Linked DNA regions of Tamandua tetradactyla. The protein of the gene in region 1 purifies or fractionates together with the protein of each later gene. This does not show direct contact. Links are inferred from orthologs where the notes say so. Each region holds a gene or a part of one and is shown on either strand. Other genes may lie near its edges. The genes, in order: FYN, CD36, SKAP1 and PDGFRB.

Evidence for each region.
Region 2: the proteins of FYN (region 1) and CD36 purify together in Homo sapiens (affinity purification with western blotting; 3 studies listed by BioGRID). This does not show direct contact. The link is inferred for Tamandua tetradactyla from reciprocal best matches to the Homo sapiens genes FYN and CD36.
Region 3: the proteins of FYN (region 1) and SKAP1 purify together in Homo sapiens (affinity purification with western blotting; 3 studies listed by BioGRID and IntAct, with this or other methods). This does not show direct contact. The link is inferred for Tamandua tetradactyla from reciprocal best matches to the Homo sapiens genes FYN and SKAP1.
Region 4: the proteins of FYN (region 1) and PDGFRB purify together in Homo sapiens (pull-down; 3 studies listed by IntAct, with this or other methods). This does not show direct contact. The link is inferred for Tamandua tetradactyla from reciprocal best matches to the Homo sapiens genes FYN and PDGFRB.

What each region holds. Positions count from the first base shown.
Region 1 is NC_135331.1:170,731,386-170,738,827, forward strand, and holds the start of FYN (tyrosine-protein kinase Fyn), read right to left. Parts: upstream 3,020-7,442; 5' UTR 2,904-3,019; intron 1-2,903. UniProt on the Homo sapiens protein: Non-receptor tyrosine-protein kinase that plays a role in many biological processes including regulation of cell growth and survival, cell adhesion, integrin-mediated signaling, cytoskeletal remodeling, cell motility, immune response and axon guidance.
Region 2 is NC_135327.1:137,120,470-137,127,826, reverse strand, and holds the start of CD36 (platelet glycoprotein 4), read left to right. Parts: upstream 1-4,356; 5' UTR 4,357-4,521; intron 4,522-7,357.
Region 3 is NC_135332.1:29,701,553-29,709,164, forward strand, and holds the start of SKAP1 (src kinase-associated phosphoprotein 1), read right to left. Parts: upstream 3,002-7,612; 5' UTR 2,921-3,001; coding exon 2,872-2,920; intron 1-2,871. UniProt on the Homo sapiens protein: Positively regulates T-cell receptor signaling by enhancing the MAP kinase pathway. Required for optimal conjugation between T-cells and antigen-presenting cells by promoting the clustering of integrin ITGAL on the surface of T-cells.
Region 4 is NC_135346.1:30,946,852-30,953,954, reverse strand, and holds the start of PDGFRB (platelet-derived growth factor receptor beta), read left to right. Parts: upstream 1-4,086; 5' UTR 4,087-4,773; intron 4,774-7,103. UniProt on the Homo sapiens protein: Tyrosine-protein kinase that acts as a cell-surface receptor for homodimeric PDGFB and PDGFD and for heterodimers formed by PDGFA and PDGFB, and plays an essential role in the regulation of embryonic development, cell proliferation, survival, differentiation, chemotaxis and migration.

The DNA.
Region 1 (7,442 bases):
TCAGCGGGCAAGAGTGCTTGTCTGCCGTGCCGGAGGACCCCGGTTCGATTCCCGGCCCCAGCCCATGTAAAAAACAAACAAACAAACAAAATATAATAAAACAAGAAAATGTTTAAAGATGTTTCCCTTCCTTCCTTCCATCCTTCCTTCCTTCTCTGTCTTTAAAAAAAATAAAAAATAAAAATAAAAAATAAATCTCTATGGAGTGGTGGAACTACATGATTGGAGCATGGGACCCAGAGGAAAAACACCCACTGATTAGAAACACCCATATTGAACTTTTACATGCGCAAGAATAGATGTCTATTGCTTTTGAGCCATTATATTTTAAGGGCCCATATGTTACAGCTGCTAACATCAGTCTAATCAATACAGTGCCTTGCACTTTCCAAGGACCTCATTCACATTCATTGAGTGTTAAGTGAAACGCTGAGGACCCACTAAGGTACCACTTGGTAGGAAACCCGGTTAGAGCAGTTTCTTCTCTCGGTGGTGCTGGCTAACTTAATGGAGAAAACAGATTCATGCCAAACATAAAGCCTGCTATTAACATTTGCAAACAAAATAGTGTGGTTGTGTGTGTGAGCAGAGGAAGCATGGGGATTCCTTTGAGGGGCGAGAGTGGGAAGCTTCACAGAAGAGATGACATTTGAGCTGGGCCCTCAGGGTTAAACAGGACTTCACCAAGCAACTCAGATGGGGCTAGCCACTCCAGACTCGGAGCAAAGGCACAGAAAGCAGTGTGTGCATTTGTTCAGATTCAACCTCATCATGAAGCCTCTTTAACTTGGTCAACTGTTTATTGTGCACTGACTCTCCTTCCTGGGTCTGCGATCAAACAAACACCCCTTTGTTTTTATAGTATCCTCATTAACCCTATTGCTTTTTCTAATATGAAAAGCTCCATGATGAACATCCTTAAAAAGTGCAGAAGCAAATCTTTAATGAGACATATGAGCTGTTTTCTGGTAAAATTCTTTAAGAATAAACTCAAGACCATTCTAATATAATAGTTGAGGAGGCATGCATGCTCTTAGGAATGAACTTACGTTTTGACATGATCAAACTAAGCATGTAAGTCACTGGCTTACAAAATGGAACATAAGCCCCAGATTTACAGTAATGTTTCCTCTTTCGGAGGAACATAAAACAGACAGATTAGAATTAAAAGATTTTCTACATCCCCTGTTCATAGTTATAGTTAACAAACCACTTCCTCTAAAAGTCTGTGAGTCCCTTCATCTGAAAGCACAGTTCCCATGAGGCAGGGACTCGAGGAGAAAGAAGCACAAAGGGTGGAAAGTGTTGCAGTTGCTTGGGTGGTGAGAGAAAGGATGTGGGCGTCTGCAGGCTCTGCTGAAGCAGGGAAGAGAAACAGTCTCCAGCCCTCTTCCAAATGCCACTTCTACATGTTTTACCAAGGTCCCCAGGTATTTATTTAAATGTAAGTGTACCAACCACACTGGGAAGACAAGATTTCCTTTCAAAAGACTTCAACACACAACACCGTGGCCCTAGACTTGAGAGAAGGAAGTCAGGGTGCCTCATTCTTAATTAACACCAATTTAATGATCTGATTCAGAAACAAAATTCTGCTGCCCCACACCAATTTATCCAACCACAGATCAAGGTACCCATCCTCAAAAGGTGGGGGAGGTGAGGACGGTAGCCCTCCGAACAGTAAAGCAACTCGAGACTACTGCTGAAATCATTTCCCCCTTAAATCTAGGAAACACTGCAGCTGCCAGTCAACACTACCGGTTCAGTGTAGAGCACAGCAAAATGCCGGCACCTGCTCCCTCCGCCTCTGGGGTCCTTTTATATTTTGGTACATGTGGCAGGAAAGACTCTCAGACAGATGACCAACTGCTTCATTTGGGAGGAAGGGAAGCCCCAAGGAAGAGAAACAAAAAACCTCGGGTTCATCCTTGGGTACTCTGTGCACTGCCTCTCTCTGCGCTCAAAGGGCCCTTTGTGTCACACACACACACATACACACACAAACGGGGAGCCTGTGTGATTTATTGGGAGGAGGAGGGCCAAGAAGGGTGATCTTATTATCCCTCTTCTTAGTGAGTCCCAGCAAATCTCTACCCTGGACTTAAAGCTCAGTGGCCTCTTTCTGGCCCAGTCCCCTCCGCCTGTGGCCGCGGAGATAAGCGAAGGGAGGAGACCAAACAAAAACAGCCATCGATCTAGGGAAGTAGAGAGGAAATCCAGCGAGCGGGGAAGGGAGGAGAAAGAAGCTGGAGAGACCAAGACCAGCAGGGGTGGGGGGGCAGAGGAAGAGGAGGGAAGGCTCCAGCACGGGGGAAAGGGGAAGGGTGGGTGGGTGGTGGCACAGGAAGAGTGAGAAGGAGGATGGGGGAAGCGCAAGGGAGGTGCCAGAAATAGGCAGGAGGATGCGATAGGGAAGGCGACGGCCGCAGAGGGAGGAGGCCGAGAGGTGGAGGAGTGGGGCCGGGGTGGGGTGGGGTGGGGAGGGAAGCAGCACGGGGCATCAATTATTAAGTGATTACATCATCCCTGACATTAAAACAACACACAGAACCCCATTCCCCGCGGGGGGCACCGAAAGGAGGGCGGGGGCGGAGCCCGAGCCTGGGCCAGCCTCGCCCCCAAGCCAACCCAGCCTCGGCCGGCGCCCGCTCCGGGAGAGGAATCGCTTCCCCCTAGCCCTGCGCTACCCACCCCTCGCGCCCCCCGCAGCGGTGTCCTCCCGCGCGGGAAGACCCCGAGCACAGGCAGCTCCCCGGCACTCTCGGAGGCGGCCCGGAGGCGGCGGCGGCAGGGGGACCGCAGCGCGGGGCCCCGCGGCAGGGGTGACGCGGCCCAGGGGCGCAGGCGGCCCGGCGCCTCTGCAGCATCCCCGCGGCCTCCAGGGCTCCTCCCCGGCCGCTTACCTGCGCGGCGCTCAGGCTCCGGAGCCCATTCACATGGTCCTCTCCGCGCCCTCCTCCAGCGCGGCCGGGGCGGCTCCGGCTGCTCCTCGGCGGGCCCGGGAGCCGGGGGGCCTCCGAGAGCGCGGAGGGGGCGGCGCCGGGGTGTCCCCGGCCGGGCTGCCGGATCCCTCTCAGGCGCGGCGGCGGCTTTGTGTGCGCCGGACGAGTCCTCCGTGCGCCGGGAGAAGCGCCGCGCGCCGGGTCGGAGGAGGACGCACGCCTCCGAGGGCAGCCTCGCCTTTGCTCCCGCGGCCGGCAGGCGGGCGGGTCTCGGCGGCCTTCAGCTCGCGGCGACCCCTCCTCCTCTCCCGCGGCAGCCCCCTCCCCGCCGGCTCCACTCCTGACAGATGGCGCAACTGCAACAACGCGCGCCGCCGCCGCGGCCGCTCGCTGCTACTCTCGCTGATGCTCCAGCCCCTCCAGAGCAGGAGAGGAGCGAGGCGGGGGCGGGACGCACCCCGAGAGTGGCGGGCGCCGCTGCCCTATCACAGGGAGCCTTTGAGAGCTGCGGGCGGCGACCATTGGTGGCGGGGGCGGGGGCGGGGCGGCGGTGGGTGGGGCCGCGGAGTGGGTTGAGTGTTACTGTGGCAGCTGGCATCCTGGCGTGCGTGCAGTGTGGGGTGTGCGGGCCGGTGCGAGGTTGGAGCACTTGAGGGTTTTTTGTTTGTTTGCTGTAAGGTTTGTGCGTGGTGGTGAGGTGGTGGAAGGATGGGGATAATGACAGCTGCAATGCCATTCCCCTAAACCATGGGTACCTGCTCGAAAAGGGAGTGTCTTGCTTTTCTCGTGTCTTTTTATGTGAGGGTGGGAGGATGAAACGAGAAAATGTTAGGGAGGTGATAGCAGCGTGTCTGATCAAAGTGAAATGAGTGCGGAGCGAGGTAGAATCCCAGCACAAAAACTTAGAAAAGCTGGGATAACCCTGGAAATGCACAACGAATAAACAGTAGTAGCAAAAAGTCCAAAAGTTAGGAATTAATTTATTAGTTTCCCATTTTCGTGGGTACACATATCTATTTATTTTCAAGCAAAAGTCTCGAGAAAGGATTACTGCAGTGGGGAGCTGAAAAAGTCTGGGGGTTGAGGAACCCACAATCACAGGGTAGAGATTTCTGTTTGTACTCCCACCACTCCCCACCCGGAACCAGGGTTAATTTTAGCCACTGGTTGTCTTTGGTTTCCCATGACATTCAAACTTTTCGTGTGTTTTTTTCCCTGCACTGAATCTGAGCTTTTGCTTTTGCTCAGATTTTCCTTGATGAAATAATTGCTGGTTTAGTATACAGTTGGGAGTGCATCAGTCTTTATTTCCTATCCAGCTTTTCTATGGCAGGATGTAACTTCATAAAAAGAAACACTTTGGCTTCCTGATTTTCTTTATAGGTGATTCCTGTTTACTGAACGTTCTACTTCAAGGCGTGCTCAGAGTCATTCTCCTTAATGATTTTGGCAAGAACCCTAGCATCCCCTCTTAGCAAATCCAGTGTTCTTAAGAAATGTAAGGGAATCAACTTCTGAGTCCACGCTCAAAATCTATTATGTTACTTCTCATTGCCTACAAAAAAGGTCAATGTAGTTTTTTTAAAAAGTCACTCACTTTTGCTGACTTTCTTTTTGTACATGGTACATTTTGAAAGAGTTCTAAACGTTTATCAAACTGTCCATTTTATGGTTGAAGGAAAGAGAAGTAACTAGTGATGGCGGTACAAGGTGGTTACTGGTCAGGTTTTTCTGTTTTCTCCTTAATCAAAATTAGAAGTTAAACTCCATGTAATTCGTTACATAGTTCCAAGAAATGGAACCACAACCAGGAAGTGAAGATTTCCAGGCAAGAGAAGGCCAACCTTATCTACCAAGAATTACTTATGTCAAGAGAAGGGGCTCCGCTTCTTCAGTGCTTAACCTGGCATGGCTCTCCTAGGTTTATATGGGTTAGAATGGACAGGCAGTTATCTAGAGCAATGGCTCTCAAACTTTAGTGTGCATCAGGATTAGCTGAAGGAGCCTGGTAAAACATGATTGGTGAGCCCCACCCCCAGACAGCTGATTCTGTAGGTTTGTAATGGGTCTTAAGAATGTGCATTTCTCTAAGAAGTTTCCAGGTGATGCTGGTGCCCCTCTTCTGGAAACCACACTTTGAGAACCACTCCCCTACAGCTGGTCTGTCTAGTGCAGTAGTTACTAGCCATATGTGGCTATTGAGTATTTGAAATGTCCTTGAGTACTTGCAATATGGCTAGTGCAAATTGAGGTGTGCCATGGGTGTAAAAGACATTGGATTTCAAAGACATAGCACGAGAAAAAGAAAGGAATGTAAAATAGCTACTAAGTTATACATCGATTACATGTTAAAAGGATAAGATCTATTATTGAAGTTAGTTTCACCTGGTTCTTTTATTTTTAACGCAGTTACTAGAGAACGTTAGATAACATGTGTTATTGTCCAATTTATTTCTATTGGACAGAGCAGGTCTGGAGGAGCGGAGTTGTCTTAATTAGCTCCACGGTGCACTGGCAGAAGCCTCATAAACAGGCAAGTCCCTTCCCCTTTCTGGACCTTATTATCCCCATACATAAAAATGGGGAAATAGTAAAACTGATCTCGCGCTATTATCATAAAGACTAAATGCATGTGGAAGCACTTGGCGCATTCCTTCCTCCTTTTAGAAGACAAACTCTTACATATTCCCAGAAAAATCACTCTTAGTATATAGAACTCCTTGGAATTCTGCATTAGAAATCTGGGGCAGGTGGTGTCAGGCATCACATTGTTTATGACTTCTTCCTGAGGAGCCACTTTTTAATGTCTGTAACTCTAATAGCCTCTTGATCTAATTAGTGGACAAAAAAAAAAAAAGACAATGCGACTTAAATGACCTCCTCAGATCAAGACTTCATCCTGATTTTGTCATTTTTCCCTTGCCTACTTTTATCTGCTGCCCTTCTTAAATGTAGCTTTAAGTGGATTTGGCCTCCTCAGGAGGATTTACAAATGGTCTGAACAAGTGTGTAGAGTTGTGCAAAAAAAGATCGGATACTAATGTTCACTTTAATCCAGTGTGTGGATCTCTACAGAGAACACGATTCAAGATCCACAACCCCATTTCTGACCCCCTCAGGCAAGTCATATTGTCCTTTCTATCCACACACCCCCTCCTCAATTTTGTTAACTTGTTTCCTTGTGGACAGCTTCAATTATACAAAACAGAATTTAGGCATTATTCTAGAACATCTCTTTGACTTGATTGGTACCGGTTATTTTAGTTTTTCTATTTCATCTAAAATGTCCTCTTTTAATCTTTATTTTTTTCACATCTGAATTTCTTATTCTCTTCCTTTTAAAGTAGCATTTTTCTTATTTCAACTTATTAGTTCAAATGTTTTCTTGTCTTATTATCACATAATCAACAAGGAAATAAAGATACTCACTATAAATGAAAAAAAAATGTGCAAAGGAAGTGTGTCCCTAAATGGCAAAGAGGTTCAACCTCACTTGTAACCATAGCAATACAAAGATGTAATTTTTTCAACTACCTAGTTGGTCAAAGACATAAAAGGGTCTAGAGAAATGGGTGCTCCCACACTACTGCTAAGAGTGTTAATTGGTACAACTTTCCTGGTGCGAAACTTGGTAGCACCTGTGAACAGGTGAATTAAAAAAAAACACATACCTTGGAACCAGCAATTCTAATTCTGGGAAAGAATGGAGCAAATCAGCAAAGGTATACCTTTGAAGGAGTAATTGTGCATTGCTCACAATAGTGAAAAATTGGGAAAATCTAAAAGTCCATTAATAAAGGATTCGATATGTAAATTATGCTACATCTATAGTGGATCACTCTTCAGCCATTAAAATGATAATGCTGATATTTATTTATTTATGTGGAAACATTTTCTCAATAACTAAAGAGAAAAAAGTGAACAACAAATTAGCATGTGTGTGCATATATATGTACAGTGTATGTAATATCTATTATGTAACAGTGTCCCATTATTTTAAAACTTATCTCTGTTTATAAATTATCATGGAAGGAGAAGCATATCAGAACACGCACAAACGTTTTAACAGTGATTTTCTCCAAGTTATCCAATTGTAGGTCACCTTTATTTTTTATACTTTTCTGAATTTTCAGAATTTTTCTGCATTGGGAGAAATAAACTGTCCTTAAACCTTTTCCTTCATTTGCTACCTTAATTTTCCCCTTTCTCTTCCTCCTCCTCTTCTCTGATGTTTTTTCCCTTGTGAAAGAGCAATGCCGCAGGGGTGGTATCCAGAAGAGACTCCCTGCCAGGAAACTGGAGGGAGTCTACCTGCAGTTAGCTTTCTAACTTCTGGTGGATCTCCCAGGACTTGTAAGGATGATTCTCGAAAAAAGTTCACTGAGAGAATGGGAGACCACTGAGAAACTGATCTCAGGGCTTACACTTTCAGTACTTAGCATACCTGGTTTGCTGTGATACCTCCATCTCATCAAATCCTCATATAGAAGAGCTACATTT
Region 2 (7,357 bases), on another chromosome or scaffold:
CCATATGTGAACTTGAGATGTGAGAGCTGCAGATCGCAACTGGAGAGCTTGACTTTCTGATCGACTCAGAATTATAATAATTAATCTTCCCATGTTTCTCTTGCAGAGGATAGAGCCACAGCTCCCTAGACAATGCTTTGCACAATCTGTCTCCAAGAAAGTTCATGAGAATTGTCTGATTATTAGCTGATAACATCAAGCAAAGTTCTATAAACATGCTGCAGCATGGCAGTAATAATTTTAACACACTAAGGCTCTGCGTCTGATTTAAAAACCAGTGGGACATCTGCTTGGTTGCTACCATAATTGGCTGCCAGCCTGTTGTTTTGTTGTGCTGGAAGAAGGACTTTATGTCCTGTGGATATTATTTGCTCTTGGTCCAGGGGGACCCAAGTTTCCATTAGGTTACAAACTCTGTACTCATAGCCAGTTGTGTGCAAGACTCTTGCAAGGTTTTTGTAAAACATGCATGACTATTTTTCCTTTTTGTACTGGGTTCTTTCAGTTTCCTTTGGTCCTTTGTAAGAAGTATCTTCCCAGGCTCTCAGTCCCTAAGGCATTACTTGGAATATTTGCCACTCCCCCCACCCCACCCCACCCCACCCCCACAGGATGGCTTTGTGAAAGCTCCCATTGATAGCCTATATTACACAGATATATTAATATTGCAATATAACTTTGCTTACTTGTGTTCATATGGGCTCAATTCCATTCACTCACTCATCCATTTATTATTCAGTCTTTCATTCAGAATTTATGTTTTGAACCTGACTTTGTGCTAACCACTGAGCTAGATACCTTCTTTTATGTTAACTGAAGAATGAGTGTTCATGATTGAATTCCGTACCCCAGTTTGGGCATGTTTTTATTCTTGGTCCTCATTCTGGTGAGTGCAGACTGCTTGTAGATAAGATCTCTTCAAGATATTACTTCAGTTAAAGTGTGGTCCCATTGAATTCAGTTGGGCTTTAATCCAGATTACTGGAGTCCTTTATAAACAGGATGAAAATCAAGGAGAAGCCAGGAGAGGCCAGCATGTGCATTGCCACGTGACAGAAAAACTAAGGACCAGGGAATGCTAGCAGCCATCCCCAGAGTGCCACAGTCTTCTGCAGAAAGCTTCCATTTGCTGACACTTCAATTTTGGACTTCTCCTAGCCTCAAAGCATGAGCCAATAAACTCCCATTGTTTAAGCCAACCCATGGCATGGTGTTTGTTTTAGCAGCCAGGAAACTAAAATACACTGCAAACAAATAAGTAAAACAAACAAATAAACAGAGAACCCTGAGAACTCTATGAGAGTGTGCTCATAGAATCAGCTTTAAATTAGCCCTTCAATATTTTTTATCTTAAATACACATTTTAAGCAAGCCAATAATTATCAAGAGTTTTTTCTGAATGTTTTTCCTAAATGTAAGAATAATTAACAAGATTAATGTGTATAAGTGTCTTGGTGAGTATTACTCATTGTTTTCAAGTTTATTAAGAGGTTTATGCTAAATTGTCCTTAGAAAACCACGAATAGTACCCTCCCTGCTATGTTACAGAGCCAGGGATTCAAGCCTTTACAATGGGCAGTGTTATACTAATAAAGCGCAAATATTCAATTTTAAATTTGGATTTTCCTGGAAGGAATTTTTTAAAGAATCATGTTATTAATTTTAAAGTCCTAAACATATTCAACATGTCATACTTCAGCTTTAATGAAAGCTGTTAATAGTACTTGCTGAAGAATAGAATCCAGAAGCATCAGAGAAACAGGTTTGGGGAGCTGTTAGGAAGGAAAGGAAATATGAGTATATTACTGTGACTGTACTGATGATGTCTAGCATGTGTATGATGAATTTAATTGCTGACAAGAAAAACAGTTTCCACACAGGAAGGGAAATTTTGCAATAATGTCATCTGAGGAACATTTTATCAACAGCTGGCAACAGCTGTCATTAGCAGCACGACTGCTGGTTCAACATTAATGTCTTAACACTACGCCACTCATTATGGAGCAAAGGCCAGAGGAGGTTTCGGTTTTGCCTATTTCAAAGTTTATTTTCATAAGCACTTGAAAGGCGGGCACTTAGGGAAAAAAAGGTCCTAGATGTATTAATTGGTGCTCTGTGATGAAATGTTCAGTTCTGAAGAGAGTTGAGAGTGATTTCTTATGATTGCCTGGGTAGAGCGGAACTTCAGTCCTGTCCTACTCAGTTACCAGATGGTCTCTTTTAAGTCAACCCACCACTACCCACCACCCTCCCTCACTGCCCCCCACCCAGTGGGTGGTATATGATAATGCACATACATCGAAAAGAAATTCACGATTTCCTATTATTTGTAGGACATAATCCACAGTCTGAGATGCTGGTACTTGGAATATCAGACATTTTAAAAAATTTATTTTGGTTTATAGGAAAATATCTATAGCTTTGTTCACTGAATTTTTAACATTTGTCTTCATGCTTCTTTGATTAAACACTCAGTTTAACAAGGGCCTTGTTCAAGTACCAGAAAAACTTTTTATACACTTGGGACATTTTATTTTCCATCATGAGAAGAGTTCCATTCTAGGATGTTTAGGAACACGCGGCCCTCCTTCCCAGGTAGATGTCTCCAGTGATGACCGTGTGACCCGACGGACTGGCTGAGTCCTCTCCACCTGGACGGCCGCGACTGAAACCACTTCTCAGACCTCCTGCTGCTAACATGGTGCCCCAGTGGGGAGCAGGTGGGCAGCAGGCTAAGGCAGGTCAAATTCTGCTTGTATAAATTGGAGAAGTAAAAGAAAAGAGGAAGTTGAAGAGGTGAAGTTGAAAAATATAAATGCAGTTCAACTGCAGTTGTGGAGCTATTCTTGGTTAGAGCTGTGACATAAACTTCCATCCTTTTCTTGTGCCAGGGGCATGATGCATCTGGGGTTTTCTTGGTATCATAGAAATTCTCCTGAGGGATCATTTCTGTTCTTACCCTAAGTTTGCTCAAATTAATAAATAAAAAAAGAAGCCTTGGAAATGCTCATCGAATGGCTAATCTGATACAAATAAAGGGTAGATGGGAACTAATTTTCAACTGGTCACTCTATTCTAAAATGGGAAAAAAAAACCTGTATTCAAGTTAAAATTAGGTGAGTTTGACTCTCAGAGGAATCATGCATTAACTTTGTGTCCATTGTCAGCACTCCTCCTTCCACACTTCAGTTTTCTTTTCCTTAAAGTGGGGCCTAACATATTCTTTAACTTGAAGTGAAAGGCTATTTGGGGATTAGGAAAAGAGAATAAGATAGCTTGATACCTATGTCGCACAGCATCAGATACTCAATAAATGTACTTATTATTACAATACTATGAAAACTGGTGTTGGTAATTTGGCAAAAGAGCCATTGTTTTTTTTCAGAGATACTTAATACTGCTGGTTACAAACCAGTTCCATTCAGGAAAAGAAAACTCCAAAGTTCATGGTTTTACTTTAATGCCATTCTGTAAGAGAAGATACTAACTGAAAATATTTCTTCCCCACCCGCCTCCACCTCCACCCTCAATATCAGGAAAGCATAACAGCTTTTCCCTGGTTTCTCAGCTTACCAGTTTGAAGATAGAAATAGGGATATTTAATATCTGAATTCTGGAAAGTGATATGTTAGAATTTTTTTCCATTTTATTTTCAGAGTAGTAACTTTGTTCGCAGGGTCTGCTCAGGACTAGGTTAGAGCTTCATTTATATGTTTACTAGAGTTCTAGGCAAACTTCAATCTCAAATCAGCTGCACTGTGCAACTTACCAAAAGGATAAAAAACACAAACTTTTAAACCATGGCACCTTGGCATGGCACTTCCTGCCCCAAATAATTGAGACAAACATCAACAAAAAAGATGAAATTACTACTGAAGATATAAACGGAGAAAACATACCAAGAGAACTTATCAAATAGATACTCACATTTCAAGGACTCACCCTCAAAAAGCTACTGAAACAAAAACCTGTTGACTTTAAATAATATCCAATATTCACGATTTCATGTTGCTTTTGTACTTAATCCTGAAAGGAAAACTTCAGATAGTTGCTACCATATCACCAAAAGTGGTAATCAAAGAGAGAAGTAAATTGATTGCTGAATTAGATAAACTGCCAGTGATTGATTATTTGAATTTTCTATTTTCATAAGCACAGCAGGTATGTGCTAAAGAGTATAACAGGTTTTAGCAGGAAAAGGATTAAGGGTTTTTATTTTCCTCAACTGAGGCACAAAATGAGTGAGATTTTTTGAGTTAATTTTCATTTCATATGGCTCAGGTGTCAGGGATCTATATTTATCTCATGTCAGACATGCGTCCGAAGTGCTGGAAGTCTCAGGATGTCAATGGCTTTCAGATGTCGAGCTATCCTTGCAGACAGAAGAGTGAGCAACACTCTGGGCTTTATTTCTGAGTTCTCAGCTGCAAGTGTTTACTTTCTGCGTCTTTCCTTACAACAGTCTCTCTGAAGCTAGCCTTGGGATCCTACATCTGGGCAAGCAAGCTTCTCTAGAAGTCGGTGAGCAGAATTCTTTTTTGTTTAGGGGTGTGGCTCTAAAGGTCTCTGTCGTTGATGTACTATAATCTATTACTTAATAATAATCCTTCTTAAACTCTCTAAGAAGATAAATACTCTCTGATGTAAGAATTTAATCTACAATCCCTCTTCTACTGTATTTGTAACTTCTCAACTAGATTGATGGGAAGAAAGTAGGCTTTTTTTTTTGAAAGCAGACTTTTAACACTTAAATTTTACCTTTTCACAAGTCTCTAAATTCATCCTGTGAAATTCCATTTGCATATATGTATACATGCCTTTTATTTAGAAGGTAGCAACAAAGTAAACATCTGTTAAGTTCTCAAAGTGTATTTTTAGTTGAAATTGGTAGCCCTTCAGGTCCTCTAAGTTGATCTGGCATGTCTTAATCTTGATGGATTTCTTATTTTACCTAACTCAAATTTTTGTCCGCCTACATATAGGCTCTTTTGCATATTGCCTTTTGAGAAGATACTCTAATATTCCGGCCCATTAACTTTTCTTTTTCCGAATTGAAAAGCACATTTTTAGTGAGACTAGAAGTTGGATGACTTTCATTCATGGGATTCTCAAATGTTTTTTTGATTTGTTATCAAGGTAGACATGAAGAAATGTTCTAAAATCCTCTTAACAGTGTGACTCCTAGAAAGAAGAAAACAAAAGTATTGGCATACATAAGACTCACTGATTATTTCGTGGTCAAAGAAATTGTTGACAGTGGGCATTGGGTATCTATTATTTCAGGAGGGTCTTGTTATATAGCATAATTTTTTGTTACATGGTATGTTTCATATCATGTAACACCAGGTAACCTTATAGTGACATATTCAGAAAGTATATTTAAAGTTATACTTATGAAGAGACAAAATTAAATGTTGATCCAAAAAAAGGAACGCACACAAAAAAATGGGGGATGGGGGGCAATTCCCTTTGACACTCAAAGCCTGGGAAAGAATTGTCTAAGATTCTTTACCATTAAGAGAAGACTGCTTTTTTTTTTTTTTTTTTTTTTTTTTTTTTTAATTTGGGGAATGGTTGCTTGGAGTTATGCTGAATTCTGGGGAAAACATTCCAGCCTGATACTTTTAAAAATGTTAATTTCTTGTTCACTCTCTGTGAGAGAACTGAGAATTCAGATCAGTTCTGGATGAGATTAATAGAAATGAGAACAAACTCTCCCTTTCTCTTCTAGAATGACTGGCTTAATTTTCTAAACATTAAACAACTTGATATTCCTTTTAAAACTCTTCTACAGGCATACTTTTGTGGGGAAATTTATGAGATTTCTGTAATCCTGACGAGGAGTAGAGAAATATCTTCAAATGATGTAAAACACAAACACTAATTATTTGGAATCGGATCCTTTTGTAAAGGACGACAACTTTGTAATTAATCGTTCTGAGAGTTTAAGAAAGCAGACACCTGAGGATAGCAAAACAATTTCACCTGGGAAAAAAAGATAAGCTCTTGAATGCAGAAAAAAAGCTTTAAGGCTATGATAAATCAATGAATAAGACTGCATTAAATGGAAGAGAATGTTTTTCTTAGAGCAAAGAAATAGCATGAAAATATATGGCTGTTGATGTGACTCTGGCTCATTTCACATCTGGTGCAAATTGCTGGTATTTGATTTAGATTTCTAACTTAAAGAATTTAATCTGCATTCTTAGCATTTATAAGCTAAGTTTCATAGTTAAAGTCTTTGAAATCATTTTCACAAAATTTTGCAGTTGAAAAGAAATACTGTAAAATGAGAAATGAGGGAAAGGAAATGTCTTGATTGGTCAGTTGTATATATTGTTTTCTTTAAGATCACATGTTGCTTTTTGGAAGAGAATTGTATATTGTGCTACCACTTCACTGCCACCTGACAGAAGTGATCCAGAATGAGTAGTGACTGAGGAAGAGTGGAGCAAGAATTAGATTAAAGGAATTCTAAATAATGCCTAGCCCAAAATAAGCCTCTCAATCACAAACAATAAATTGTCCTTCAGGAAAAAGAAATAGCGTTAAGACTAGTGTAAGTGCACCAGGAACATAAAAATAATACAGTTTAATAAAGAATTAGTTTTTCTATTTTGTGTGTTGTATGTCGAAGTCCAGAAATTGGCTAACCACTGGAAACTTTCTTCTTTTACAAAGGGCAATTAGTGTGCCATTTGTTCCTCCATGAGCTTTCTAGCTATTTCTTCATAGAGAAGGGTAGTAGGGAAAACCCTGTTTTCTGTCTTCAAATTTAAGTCATATAGAAAATAAAAAACACTCTTAGGTACTTGGAGGTACACTGGTAAGTAGTTTAAGATGTTTTGAAATAGAACCAGAAACCTTTGTCCCACAAACACTATAATCTGAAGAAGGAAATGACAGAAATTTGGCAAGCATTAGAGAAGGGACATAAGAGACAGCTTGGCTACACTCACCAAGAATTCCAGAATGTGCTGAAATGTAAAGTATTGTTTGCCCTTCAGTGCTTGTGAAGTGAGGAAATTAAAAGTGACACAAGGACAGGATTTTTCTTTAAATATTATAGTCTCATTCTTAATGCTCTTGTTTATCATTCATAGAAATATAAATCTTAACATTTCTTCAGTTTTTATTTTTAGAAAATAAAAAAGGCTATTTGTAGCCTTTTCATGATTTTTTAAATTAAAAAAACCTTAATCTAATTGAAATTCATTTGGAGGCTCATTTGTTCTATTCTGGGACTTCATTATCCCCTATTTGAAATGTAGCAGATGCCCTTACAAGGTATCCTTCTTGATTCTTATTCTGCAATGTTTTAGAGATGATAGAATAAAGGTGTTTTAGAGTGATCATG
Region 3 (7,612 bases), on another chromosome or scaffold:
TTAACATTTTGGAGTATATTGTTCCTACTTCTTCTGAGACTTACAGAAACATATAATATATAGGAGTTTTAGTTTTGTTTTGTTTCAAACAAAAATAGGATATTAAACGTACTATTATGCACCATGCTTTTTAGTCTTAACATGCCATGAAAAGAAAAAAGAAACATGCCCTGGCCATTTCCCAAGTTAATATATAGAGATACATCACACATTCTTCATGGCTGCAAAGTTTTCCATATTCTGGATGTTCCATGATTTATTCAACCATCGCCTCATCCTTTCCCAACTCAAGGATATTCAAGAGAGATCCTTGTGCACATACTTCATGTACTTTAATTTCAGTAATGCAGTTTCCTAGAAGTGGAATTTCTGAGTCAAATGAAGCATTTTTAATTGTTTAACATTTTATCCTTAAGCTAAATTAGTTTTAAACCTTCAGAATTTGTTTTCTCTTCTTTATTATGCAAAATTTCAGCATTAACCTTTCACAATGTTTTGCATATTTTATTTTTAAAAGCACATGTTATGTGAAAAGCATGCTCCTGTCATTTATGCCCATGTAGTTATAAATAAATAAATGCCTGTGTTATGGCTTTGATGGTCAGCATTAAATCAGTGTGCTAACACTTATGCCTTGGTTTGTGAAAGTAGTAAGTCATCATGGAAACTCCACCCCCCAAGGCCATGCGGCAGCTCTAAAATTGCAGCTCTTACATCCTGTTACTCCCTCCAACTGAGTGACTAGAGATCAGGACCTACATATTTTCTAATTGTCAACAGTTAACCTTAAAAAGGGAGGGAGAGACAGTAAACAGCAACAGGCAATAAACTGATAGCCATTTTGAGTTTCTAGTATCCACAAATTATTCATAATACAGTGAATTATTCTGCTGACAGAAACCAGAGATTGTGTTCCATAAAAATAAAACCTATAACCAATAAATTGCTATTTTTACACGAGCCTTTCAAAAGCATATTCTTCAAACACTGAAATAGAATTACTGATTGAATCCCACTTTACATTTTTTTCTCTACTTCAGATTCAGGCTCTTAATTGCAAACTTAAAAAAAAATACATTAACCAATTAAGCTCCTTAAAATTTAACCTCAGACTCCTCATAAATTCCAAAGACCTGCGCACCAACCGAGATTGTTAAGATGCAGCAAGTTTGATATAGAAGTATGTGACATGCAATTAATCTCCATTCATACCCTGCTCTACTTGTCAGCAAACAAAGGTTCTACTTTAGAAGGAGATCTGAAGACTTCAATTAAAAAGTCAGCTAACAAGAAAATAATCCAAGTTAAAGGAAGGTGGCAGGTGTAGGAATGAGTTGTTTACCAAAGTGTCAGTTTTGAACAATAAAGGACTACACAGCAAAAATGTTAAAAGAGTGAATTTCATTGCAAGGCTCTGAAATAAAAAGAAACTTTCTACCAAGTATACACACAAAAATGAAGTATAGCTTAACAAGCTTGTAAAACAGGTTTCCTCTCAAATGCAAGATGCCAATAGAAAGAATCACGTTATATCTTTAAATGCAAAGACAGAATTAAACTTTTTTACCACAGTTTCTTCTCTCCTGAAAACCAAAAGACACTTAGAGCCTCATGTTACAGTCTAATATTGAGCCAACAGGCAACCCAACAGCAAGAGGGAAAAGGCTGGACTGACACTTCTTTTACCCTGCAACTAGTTTTCTACTCCTAAAGTTTAGATTCATTCAAATCATAATTAAAATGGATTTTGGAAATCCAAAATTTCCACACACACCCACAAAAAAGACCCTAGTTGACAGTTTTTACATAGAAGCAATACAGGATGGAAAGAGTGCTACAAATCCAGACTTGCCAAATATTTGATTAGGAGGCATTTATACCAAGATAACAAGGTAATGGAGATATAAAACCAATTAAATTGAGGGAAACTGAAAAATAGCTGCTTGCCAAAAGTATGACCTCCCAAAGCAGGCCATCTGTTAAATATGTGTCAAATATGTCTCTTAGATGCCAAAAGGCTTAATTTTGAATAGTTTCCTCCTGGGATTCCTATGCAAGGGCAGATTCCAGGCCTCTGTTCTTCCTAGAAGGTCAATTACAGGAAAGCAAGTAAAAATTACTTTCACCATGAAAAGTGTCAACTGAGATACCATATTGTATACAGCGAAGAGTCTCTTCTGGGTGCTGGAAAGAAGTATGTGCTGAGTGTTAGCATGGCCTTAATTTTTAAATGATGGTTGGACACTAGAAAAGGAAGAAATGCAATAGTGAATAGGGAATATTAGTTGGCCCTGGTTTGATAATGAGACCCTTAGAGGGCTGCAGGCTGGAGATGGAGCCTGTGGTTTCAGCGCTGCCCAAACCTCGCACTAACCACGAAGCCTTGGCCAGCAGAGGATCCCCATAAACTCCTCACAGTCCCTCTGGGGAGGCTCGGGGCCTCTAACCAAGAAGATGAGGGTCCTCTGGGAGAGGTGAAGAAGTACTGGGAGGAAGGGTGAGGGGGGCGAAAGCCTACAGGTGCAGGGCGGAGACTTGAGGGAGAAGAGACAAGTGGAAGACGAGGCAAGGTGGCATGGGGGACTAAGAATCTGGCCTGAATCCTGGGAGGTTCAGTGGTGCGTGTGTGTGAGAGAGAGTGAGACTAGAGAGAACCAGAGAGAGAGAGACTCTGAGGTGAGAGGATGAGAGCCCGGTCCTGGGGAGTTGAGAACTCTAAAAGCCTTGAATGTTCTAGAAAGAGGTGAGTGATGGCGCGGCCCAGAGAGCGTGGCCTTGGAAGCCCCGATGCCTCCTCTCCTCCCTTCAGGTCAGCGCCTGTGGGCTTCGCGGGGGGTCGAGGGAGAGGCCGGGGCTGAGCCAGGGCGTTACCTTCCAGGAGCCAACGGATGTCCTCGGGGAGGGTGGCGGCGGCCTGCATTGCGCGGGGGCGGTAAGGAGGCCCGAGGGTGAGGCGGGAGCGGGCGCGCGAAGGCCGTGCGCTGAGGCGCGGGCGGGCGGCGGGGGGAGCGCGGGGCAGCACCTGCACCCCTGGCGCCGCCGCTCGGCGGCTGCCTCCGCTCGCCCAGCCGCAGGGCGGGGCGCCGGCCCGGGGCGGAGCCTGGGGAGCCGCGGGCGCAGCCCGGGGGTGGGCGGTGCCCTGAGGCCCGCAGGTGGAGGGAAATGGGGCGGTGGGCGGTGCCCTGAGGCCCGCAGGTGGAGGGAAATGGGGCGGTGGGCAGAGCTGGGAGCCCCGCGCCAGGCAAAGCCAAAGGGTGACCGCTCCAGGCCCCCGCCGAAACAAAGGCTTTGGTCAAAGGAACCCTGTCTCTGAGACTCTCCATCCTAAGCACCGGACGGTTGGTCTCAAGGTGAGAGGATTAAAAGCAACCGTGGGGCCCAAAATAGGGTGAGGAGGAGGAAGAATCTGAAGGAGAGTTTAGTCCGAGTCAAGCGTAGCACCGTTCAACCCCCGATCCCGTCCACAACGTCCATGCCCGGGAAACTAGGACAAAACTTTCCCTCTCTCAGGCAAAGCTCCCATGCTTAAGGAAAATGACCTTAAATCCCAATAAATACTACAAAGCCACCAGCATTTGGGAGAATAGAAGTTGGAGCGGAACAGGGAGTCATCCGAGTGTCCCTTCCTCCTTAAGGCTGAAAGATGCAGGGAATGGAAGGGGTGGCCTGGGGGAAGCTGAGGGAGAAGGGTAGAGGGCCCTTCTCCTCCAAGATCTAATACGGGGAGGAGAGTGACAAGATTACAGAGAACAGTGTTCTCTCAAAGTACAATAGGCATCAATATCCTGGTTGCGATATCACACCGTGGTATTGAAAGATGTTACTACTGGGGGAAACCAGGTGAAGGAGCACAGGGTCTTCCTCGCTGTGCATTATTTCTTAAAACTGTATGTGAATCTACAATTATCTGAAAACAAAGAGTTTACTTTAAAAAAAAAAAAAAGTACAGTAGGCCAAGCACCTTGAGAAAGATGCAAGGTGCCATGGGAGATAAAAGAAGACAGATGTAAGAAAAGGAGAAAATGCAGGTACATGTGACATTTGAGGTGGGCTCTGAACAACATACGGAATTTTGAAGGGTCAGGAGGGCTGTCCAGGTGGAAGGGCCAGAAAAAACGAAGATGAGAAAGCCTTCCTTTCAGGCAGCAGCTAGTAGCTAGTGTTGGGAAACTAGGGTTGTTAAGATAATTTGAAGCTCTATTGTGAAGGACCTTGAATATCAGAATCGGGATTTTGGACTCAATTGAATGGGCACTGGGGAGCCATTGACAATTTTTGAGCTGCGGAGAGACCTAAATAGAACCCTTGTGTAGCATGTGACCTCACATACATCTCTGCACCTCTGTGGTTTTCCTTCTTTGTTAAATGGGGTTTCTATTCTCAGACTCGACCCACACAGTGTGTGGGAAGGATGGGGGACAGTAAGAGAAAGGACAACAGGAAGAGGGATGAAGTGGTTTTACAATAGCCTCAGGGGGAATAAAGACTGACTCAGGGAGGTGTTGAAGGAAACAACAAGGAGAAACCATCCTTAAGGACACATGGTAGCAGTGCAGGCCCCGCTAGCCTACTTTCCCCTGGCTGAGATACAGCCTTAAGGTTGGGGGCTTAGTCTTTTAAAGTGTGCAGTGGGGTTGAGCCATCTTTACTGTCTGCCTCCTGAGATTTGAAGAGAAAGAGTACCTTGGTTTCAGGATTATAGGCCTGCACTGCTACCACAACGGAGAGGTTGGGAGCAGAAGCTGGCTCCTTCCTGCCGCAGAAAAGTGTAGCAATGGACAGACTGGCATTCTCCAGGCTTCTGAGCAGTACCAGGTACCTCCTGAGGCAGTTTCAGCTGCCCCGCTGCTCCTTCCATAAAATTGTAGTTACTTTTTTAGTACTTAGGCAAAGAAAGGTAATGAGAGCTCTGTATTGTTGTCATAATTTTTTTTGCAAATCTACAACTGTTCTAAATTATAAAGTTTATTTCTAAAAAAAAAACAGCAAGGGAAACAAAGTTCCTCCCATATGTAAGCCCAGCACTTTGCCTTGTTTCCCTCTCAGGGATGGAAGAAACTTTGACAAACCCCATTCTGCAAGGATATTGTGTCATGTGCTAATATAGGCTACAAGCTGATAAGTTATTTGGTAAGGAGCAATACACCCAGGTAATTGTACATCCTCACAGGTTTCACTCACTGCCTGTCATAGCTTACTAAAGCAAGTGAAACAGCAGAATTTGCAACATAGGTATTTTACATCCATTCTTCCCCGCAGGAATTTCTGGGTTTTAGGAGATGGAGGTGGAGGGAGGTGCAGGTTGGGTAATGTGTGGTGGGTGACTGGCAGATTCCAATACGGTATTGTCATGTTGCATCAAGGTTCCTCATTGCAGACAGAAACCTGCCTCCGCACATGAGCGCAGCCCCTCCTTAATCATCTGAGAACCTGGTTCAGCGGTCAGCCTCATTCCTAATGACATTCTGTTAAATGGACAAATTCCTTTGAAGCCTTGTCCTTCTTTGAAATCCAATTTTGCAGGAAGCCAGATCTGATTTGGAGTAGCCATGGAAACCACACCGAAGAGTCTTAGAGGAGGTAAGGGGAAGCAAGGCAAAACGTGATAGTCAAGAGTCCTTTACTGCTTTGTCAGAAATATCAAAGGGATCTGGAGAGGTTGGCAGCAGACGCGTCCCTGTCCAGGTCCTGTTCTGTGTGGCTGGGTACCATGTGGCTGTCATGGAAGTAAGCAGCCAGCTGTCTCTGCATACTGGCAGGAGGATGGAGCAGAATACACAAATCCCAGGTCTGTCTGCCTCGTTCTTTTTTCCCTTGCTTTAGCCCCAATTCCAGCACGTTCTTACCAGACCCTTCCTAGCTGCCTGCCCCTTAAAAGCAAACAACAAAAGAATGGCAAGGTTAAAATACAAGACCCTCACTGATAAGAGGTCCTTTAGAGCAAAGGCCATGAAATTAATCTAAAATTCCTTGTAATTAGATAAGATAAGGATATCTAAAGAGATGCAGAGCAGCCAGGAATGAAGTCCGGCAGCAGGACATGCAGACAATATACCGCCTTGTCAACAAGGGCCTCACACTGTCAGCAGACAGAAGACAGAGAAAACACAGTCTATGCTGCTCTCTAAGCTGCTGGAGAATGCCGGCTGCATATTCTCATGCCAGGTGGGCACTCACTAAATATGCATCCGTGGGGCATCCAGAGGGATCAATCAGGAAGAAACAAAAGCATCTGGCACCCAGAATGGCATAGTATAAGAACAACTGCAAGCAAAGCAGGAGCCGGCTGGCACTCTTCTGCCCTGGGTAAAATGGATCTGAAGAGGAGACTGTGGAGGGCAGACTCTCAGGCTTTATTCTGAGCTGGTTATTGATCCCTGGATGCTGGGTCATGACACGCAGCGGAGCTGACGTCTGCCCTGTGGATGTGCAGCCGCTGCATCTCAGCCTCTCAGTCCCAACCCCATCAACCGAGTTTATTGACTCTTTTATTGACAATGCTGAGACCTAATGAGGACAAGAGCTGCACACTTCATTAAGGGCTGTGGAAGGAGAGATGATGCATCCTGTCCTGTAGATGCCAAGATCAGGCTCACCACATGCTTTGCAGGGCTCCAGAAACCGAGGCTCCTGCCACTTCTGAGGCCCAGGAGATGAGCACAAGATGCTACCTTGGGTCCATCACTTCAGTGCCCTTAAAATGTGGTATTTCTACAGCATCCAGAGACCTTACTCTTACCAATCAGGTAACCATTAAACACAGGAAAGTCCTATTAAACACACACACACAGATGCACTGCGGTGGTCACCCCTTTCCACTCACACTTCTAGATTCTCTGTGCTAATACAGGCAACAAAATAAGCAGGGTCTCATATCAGAACAGGGAACATTCCCATAAGCAAGCTATCGATAAGGCAGAGCCTCCGGACAGAACGAGGGCTATGAAAACTCAAAAGAATCTTCAAGGTAATCAAATTTAAGACGAAGAACAAGCCCACACCCTGTCCAGGACCACACAGCTCACAGGGAATGTACTGGCCTTAGAGTCCTGAGTCTCTTGTGTTTGTCCAAAGCTCTTGATGAACTTAGCAGTTCCTGGGCTGGATAATTACAGCCTGGGGATGGCCGAGCAGTTGTGTGAAACAATCATTGTTGATCCTCTTCCTCCTAAATAACATTTCTTTGTTTGTACTTTATCATATCTTTCTATTACTCCCCTTATTATTTTTCCTCTATATTCCCCAATCACTTTTTTTTTAGTATCATTTTTGCCTATCCCTTAGACCACATTAAACATTCCCCATGGGCACCGATGAACCCCACAATGGCCCTAAGGACCACAGAGGTTGCTGACGGTGACATTCTCTGTCTTTGATTGGTTCTCTTGGGAATGGGGGGAGGGGAAGCAATGGGAACTTGGAATGTGTCAACTGCAGCCAAATGACACAGCGTGCTCTCTGAGCGAACCTGGAGGTCCGCTATATGGTTAAACTGCATGGGGAGACAGGTGGTGCTAGGGCCAATTTTATGGTAGATATTTGCAAACATGTTAACTTTTGGAAACTGTAATGGAGTTTCTTTTGGGGGGCAAGGGTGTAGATTAAAGGTATT
Region 4 (7,103 bases), on another chromosome or scaffold:
CGAGCACGTTCTGGCCCTCCTGGGCCTTAGTGTGTCCAATGAGGAGGAGACGTGTGGCCTCTGGGCCCTGCTGTGCTAAGGATCCTTGAGCCATCTGTGTGTACCAGAAGGACTTGCCCCAGTTCCTTGTGGTCCTGGAGCACCGAAGTGGAGGCCACCTAAGAGGCTGGGGAGAGGCTTAGGTGGGCAGTGTCTCAAAGCCCTTACCTCCTGCAACCCTCGCAGGCCTTGGTGGCTGCCGTCTGTCCACTAAGGGCAGCCCTGGGAACCTAAGGTGGGAATATGGCCTGAGGTCTCCAAGGACTAAGGCCCCATCCAGCCTGCAGTGTCAGTGTCCAGGCAGTGGGCACCGATGCTGTGTGATATATATCCCCATGGAAACTTTTTTCCTGTTTGGAGTCTTTTTGTGCCACAGGTCTTTGTTGTAGACAGTGGACTCTTAAGTTGCTCAATTAAATGACCATTAAAGCTCCGAGTTTTAAAAAAAGAAAAGAAAAGAAAAAGCTGAGTATCCAGGGGATAAGAAGGAGGGTAGCTTCCACTTTGTGCCTTTTGTGGCGGTAGGCTGCAGGCACAGGGGTGTACCTGCACGGGGCATGAAAGGATGAAAAGACATTGAGCTGGAGTCAGGAGTCCTGCATTCCAGGTCTCTTTCTCCCTGCTAATTTCCGGCAGGTTCTTTCCATGCTCGGGACCTCAATGCCCACGCCTGTGCAGTGGCTGTGCTCTTGGAGCACTTGAGGCCCTGGCATCCAAGGTGACGGCACTGATGCCTGGGACATATGTGTTGCTTCCTTGGCCCGTGCCTGGGGAGTGTGGGTGCGGTGGGGGTGGGGCCGCGTCTGGGAGCGTGGGAGAGCCAGATGTGGTGGCCGCTGGCCCTGCCGGAGTGAGCGCTGAGCCGGCCTGGTGGGAATTCTCCCACTCAGGCTCCCTTTCCGGACACCCTCCTCCCCCTGCCCCACTGAGAGCTGTGGCTTCCGGCTCTGACAAGCGTGGGTGGGGGTCTGAGGAGGGGAGTCAGTTGAGCCCTGTTCCCTCCTTCAGGGAAAAGCTTGGGCCTCAGAGTTTAGGCAAAAGCTGTGGTTCCAGGCTCGGTTTTGCCAGTGACACATTGTAGGGCCTTGCAAAATTGCTTCGTTGGGCCTCAGTCATCCTGGCTGTAAAATGAGCGGGTTGAACACGTTCCCCTCCAGCCCTGGTAGTGGACTTCTGTGACAGCCGCTCCTGGTGACCCCTGAGAATCAGGCACCGCTGGTGGAGTTTTCTCACTCTGCTCTAGTCCTCTGTTCACACGCCTTCTGGATGTGGCTTATTCAGGTCTCTTAACAGCCCTGTAAAGTAGGCACATTTATCTCCACTTTACAGGTAAGGAAACTGAGGTTCAGAGAGCTCAGATAATATCAGTGGCCAGGGTCACACAATTAGGAAGTGGCAGAGCTGGGTTGGAACTCAACCTTTGAGCAGTACCAGGGTGCTGCGGGGAGGGGAGATGCTGAACCCAAGGCCCAGGGCTCCTCTCCCCTGTACCTCTCTCCCCATCATGTTCCCAGCATGGAACAGGGTTCCCGTGCTCCACACTCTGCCCACCCACTCTCAGCCCAGCCCTCCCCAGGCCAGTCTTGTCTGAAGCCATCAGCTGGGTGGGCTGGGCTCCCAGCATCTGGGCAGGCAGGGGAATGCTTGTGGCTCGTCCTGTCCGCAATGGGGCTGAGCCTATGCTGACCACCCTGGCATGTCAGTGCTGAGCTCCCCTTGTGGCAACCATGTAGCCCTCTCAGAGTACACAAGGGGAAACTGAGGCCCAGAGAAGAGAGGGCTCAGCCTAGGCACACACAGTAATTGGTGGCAATTCAAATGAGGGAAATTCACTATTTCAATAATTATACTTCCAGGCACTGTACTAAACCCTTTTAAGTGCAGTGCTAATTTGCAAGGGTTTTATGAGTCAGTCCTTGGATTCTCTCCATTTACCAGATAAGGAAACTGAGGCTCAGGAATTTAAGTGATATAGCTCAGATGTGGAGAAGTTGGGATTTGATCCCAGGTCTGTCTCTGGCCCCAAAGCCTGCCTTCTTATGACCCTTCGGCATCAACTGTCCAGCTCTCAGCAAGTGCCCTGTGGTGCTCCATGTGGCTTAGCACCAACCCCTTCTCAGCTGAGAGGAGGCCCCATAGCCCTAGTGCCCACCAAGGGTTAATGGTGGTAGGGGCTAAATGATTCCAGATGGGCCAGCGGAAGGCTGGGCTGGCCGGAAACTGTCGGCCGCCAGCTTCCCTAGGGAGCCACCACCAGCCGCCCCCTCCCCTCTGCGCTACATATCTGGCCCCCAGCTGTCCCCCTGCCCGGGGCTCATCAGCCGCCTCTCCCTAGCCAGAGTCCAGCTCTTAGGGAAATTGCAGCAGAGCAAACCTAGGGCTTTCAGGTATAGCGAGTTCACCTCTGTTATGTACAGATGATGAAATTTAGGCTCAGGAACGACAAGCGACCTCTCCAAGGTCAACTAACAGATACGTGAATGGGTCTCCTGACTCCCAGGCCAGCTTTTATGGGGACTAGGAAGTTGAAATGCCTCCTTAAACCCCCTCAGCTGTCTTGGTCCCAGCAGTTGGGCCAAGGATTCAGAGATGAATGGTTAGGCAAGTTCCAGAAGGGGAGCCGCAAATTCCTCAGAGAGTTTTTGGGCATAAAGAGTCCTGTGTGGGTCTAACACTGTGATCTCTGGGGTCCCCCTACATTCCCCTAAAATTCTGCTGCCACCAAGCCCTGGGCTTTGGGAGGTTCTCATGGCCTCCCCACCCCACGGCATGGGGCCAGCCTGAGGACTCTTCTCTCTCCGTGCAGCCCAGTCCAGATGCTAGGCCAGGCAATCCCTACTGGGATAGGACCAAGAATGATCACAAGACAGATTACCATCATTGGCGTGGAATCCCAGCTCAAACAAAACCCTGCCCTGGGAACAGGGGGCTGGGTGGGAGAAAGGAGGAGAAGGGGGTGGGCAGAGGTACAGAGGGCAGAGGGGAAGGAGCCCTGGGTTATATCAGCTCTACCTGTGTGACCTGGGATTCCTTTCTTCCCTTCTCTGGGACTCAGTTTCCCCATGTGCACAAATAGTGGGGGCAAAAATGGGCTCAATGCAATGCTCTTAAACTGTTAGCCCTTTAGCATCTAAGGGCTAGGAGGGAGTGATTAGAGACATCGTCAGGGCAAGGAGGCCAAGGTAAAAGAAGAGTGTGGGAGGTGAGAGGCCTAGCCAGGGGACCCAGGGAGCCTCAGCAGTCCCTGGTAGGGAAGCTGGAAGTAGAGCATACCAGCTACTTAAAAATATCTGTTAATTTTGACTGAATTAAAGAGAGACAGGGAGGGGGTAACCTAGGAAGAAGGCAGAGCAGGAGAACTGTTCTACTCTGAAATGTATGTTAGGATCAGATAACCTATGCCCCTTCAATCACATGGCTCATCAGACCAGTTCTGCTCCAGTTCTGCTGTTGCTGTGTGAGCTTGGGCAGCTCATTTTCTTCCTCTAGGCTTCAGTTTCCTCATCTGTAAAATGGGACAAATAGTCTTTTACTGCCCCTCCCCCCAGAGGCTTTGAAATGATAGGAAGAATACATCTGGAGATCTGAAGATGTGTGCTTTCCCTCTCTGCTCCAAGTTAGCTCTGGGCCTTGATTTCTTCTTCTGATAAGTGACTTATAATCCAAGCCATCTCTTCTCAGAAGTACTCCCCGATTCCCGGAGGCCCCATTTAGGTGCCCTCTTAGCTCCCTGTCCTCCCGGGGATACCTGCTTGATCACTGTGTGTCTCCCCATCAGCCTGTGTCTTACTTGCAATCTCATCCCTTGCTCCCCGCCTGGCTCATTAGTGCTCAGTAATACTTGTTTGCAGAATCACCCACATGGCTCACCAGAGCTCCGTTTACAGAGGGGGAACTGAGGCACAGAGAATGTGCCTCCCTGCCTCCACGTGCCATGGCAAGAGGAGCCACCACCGTGACAGGCAATAGGCAAGTGGGGCTGGGCCACTCTTTAATAAAAGTGACTCAGCGGCTGGCTGGTGTGGGCTGCGGAATTTCTAAACATCCCTTCACATCCTGAGAGAGAGTGAGATGGGAGGGAGCAAGCAGAGGGGAAAAGAGGAAGAAAAACAAGAAACTTGGGGGAAAAGAAAGAGAGAGAGAAAAAAACGTGAAATTGAAAACAGACGCACGCGTCCGCCCTCCCTGCCCTGCCTCCCCCCTTCTCCCAGCTGGGCCAATCGGAGGCCGCCCTGCAGCCTTTCCCCTAAAGTGGGGGGGCAGGGAAGCCCACAGTGGTGTGAGCTCCTGGGGCTGCCAGTGGCCCGGCAGTCCCTGCCCGCCCTGTCTGGGACGTGGGATTGCTCCGGGAGCAACTTAGAGCCACAGAGGACAACAACGAGAAAGAGTGAGCCTGGCCCCTTCGGACCAGCCGCCAGACAGCAGCCTGCACCGTGCCCAGTGCAAACAGCCAGACCCAGGGCGGCCCCTCTTGGCAGCTCGGCCCCTCCCGAAGGATGCTTTGGGAGTGAGGTGAAGCTGGGCTGCTCTGCACCCCTGCAGCCCTCCCACTCCTTCATTGTCCAGAGGCTCCTGGATCCTGCAGCCGCCCTGCCTGCCTTTCTGCCCACCCATTGCCCTGTCTCCACTCTACCAGTCTTCCTAATAAGAGGGAGAGGGCACTGAGGACTTCCTGGAGGCGGTGGCAGCCCAGAACCTGGGACTCTGTCCACACCAGAAGGCATTGAGAGCCAGGTAAGTGCTGAGACGGGGTAGCCGTAGCCCCTTACCCTGTCCCCTTGCTCCATCCTGCACCTCCTTGTAGGTCAGAAAAAGAAAAATATTTTTAACAAAACCAGATGGGAGGAGGCTGAGAGATTGCAGGTGATGTCAGGGCTGGAGGAGCCCGTTATCTCCTTTCCCGGCTCAGGCCGCTTCCGGGGTGGGCTCTGCCTCCGCAACTCTGCTGCCCCTTCCTCAACAACAACCTCCAGTGGTTTCTGGTGGGATGCAGCTTGGGGCCTCCAAAACACAGCATCATCTGTGGGGGGTAGGGAGAGCTGGGAGGGGCGTGAGAGGGGAATTGGGGGATGGCAAACAGGGTACATGGACCTCAGGCACCCAGCCCCTACCCCCAGGCCCAAGCCTTGTCCCTAAGAATGGGACTGGCTCTCTTCCAGCCGGCCGCCAGGCAACCTCTGGGGATTTAAATGGATTTGCAAATTTTCCGGATTCCTAAGATGTCCTTCCAAACCCCCAGGGGCTGGGAAAGTGCGAGGGCAGGGTAGCAAAGGGGGCCCCAGCCTACTGTTTGCGTGGCTGGGACTGGGGGCTGGGGCTTGGCTGTCGGATCTGGGGGTCCCCGTGTGAAGAGGGGGTTGATTGGCAAAACCCTTCCTCCCGTGCCAGTCGGCTGCTCAGGCCTACTCGCCGTCTGCCTCCTGAGCTCCGCTCCTTCTCCGCTCCGTTCTAAGACATAAATCTGATCCCTCCAGCTTCCTGCTCAGAATCCTTCTGTGGCTCCCCAGGGCCTGTAGAAAACCCCAGCCCCTAATAACAGCTGCCACTGATTGATACTTGGGGTATGCCAGGCACTGTGCTGAGGGCTTTATGAAAATGATCTTGTGCAACACTCAGCCCCCAGAAGCAGGAGCTGTTTTTAAACTCCCCTTTACACATGAGGAAATGAGGCTCACAGCAGCCACATAACTATAGCCACACATGAGCTAGTGATGGTGGAGAGTGGAGAGGTGGTAGCCCCCTCACTACTCTGAATCTGGGCCTTTTGTTCCTGCCAAGCAGATCACAGGCTCCCCAGAAAGAATTTATACCATCCTGCCTGTGGGCATTTGCTCTCCCCTTTCCCCCTACCTGGAAGGCCTTTACTCATCACCTTCACTTTTCCTTCAAGGCCACTCCCTACACCTTCCTCCTCCATGCAGCCTTCCTGGCTTTTTCGGTCCCTGGGTCACTCTCAGCTCTGAACTCCCAAGCAACTGTCTTGTACTTTGTGCTGGAACCCTGTTGCTTGGCTTTCTCTCTCTCTCTTTTATTTTTCTTTAGATGGGCAGGCACTGGGAATCTAACTCGGGTCTCCGGCATGGCAGGCAAGAACTCTGCCGGCTGAGCCACCGTGGACCACCCGCTTGGCCCTCTCTTGTTTGTGTTCAGTTCATAACAAAGAGAAAGTGCCAGCCTCAGGTCTCCCCATCTTGTGCCCAGCCCTGGGCAGAAGTGGGGCTGGGAAAACGTGCTGTTGAAAGAGAGGAGGGACTGGCTGCAGATCTTCTGTTCCCAAGTGGGAGACCAGAACCCAGGCCTCCTGCCTTCCCTTAAGTGTCCAGCACGTAATTCCTATATGCCACATTTCCCCATTGCAAGGAGGGAGGGGTGTCCTTGCCCACGCCTGTGAGCCCCAGAGCGCACAAGGCCTCCCTCCAAAGAGCTCTTCATAGCCCTCCCCTTCCTCGGAGCAGGAGGCAGGAGCATCTGTGGACATATCAGGCGTGTTGGTTTCATCATGGAGCACTCACGCCGTGCCAGGCATAGAGTCTGGTACCTCACAGGCCTCAATCCTCACAGCAGGCCTGTGAGGATTTTGAGATCAGTGTTGATTTTAGCCCTGTTTTGTAGGTAAGGATACCGAGCTCAGAGAAGCTAAGTGACTTGCCCAGGGTCACACACCTAGCAGGGTTGGTATTTAAGCTGTGGTCTACCCGAATCCAAAGCCCCATGCTATGCAGGGAGGCCCCGGCCAGAGGGAGAGAGTCTCCATCCTCCCGCAACTTCAGTCTTGTCTCAGGTCTGACCTTCTGCTCCAAGACCCGCCTGGGCCCTGGCTTGCTCCTGAGTGGGGAAGAAGCCCATCTGGACAGGCCGCTCCTCTCACAACCGTGGTTATCAGGCAGGCCTCCCTCCTCTGGGGATGACAGCCATTTCTTGGGAGGACGAGCTGGGACTTGTAATTACCCACAGATGTAGGGCAGTGGAAAGCACCGCGGATTCAGAGTCAGGAGGCTCGGCTGCTGCCCTGGCTCTGCTTACACCCTCTGTGTGCTCAGCCTCAGGCCCCACGTCTCCGCTCT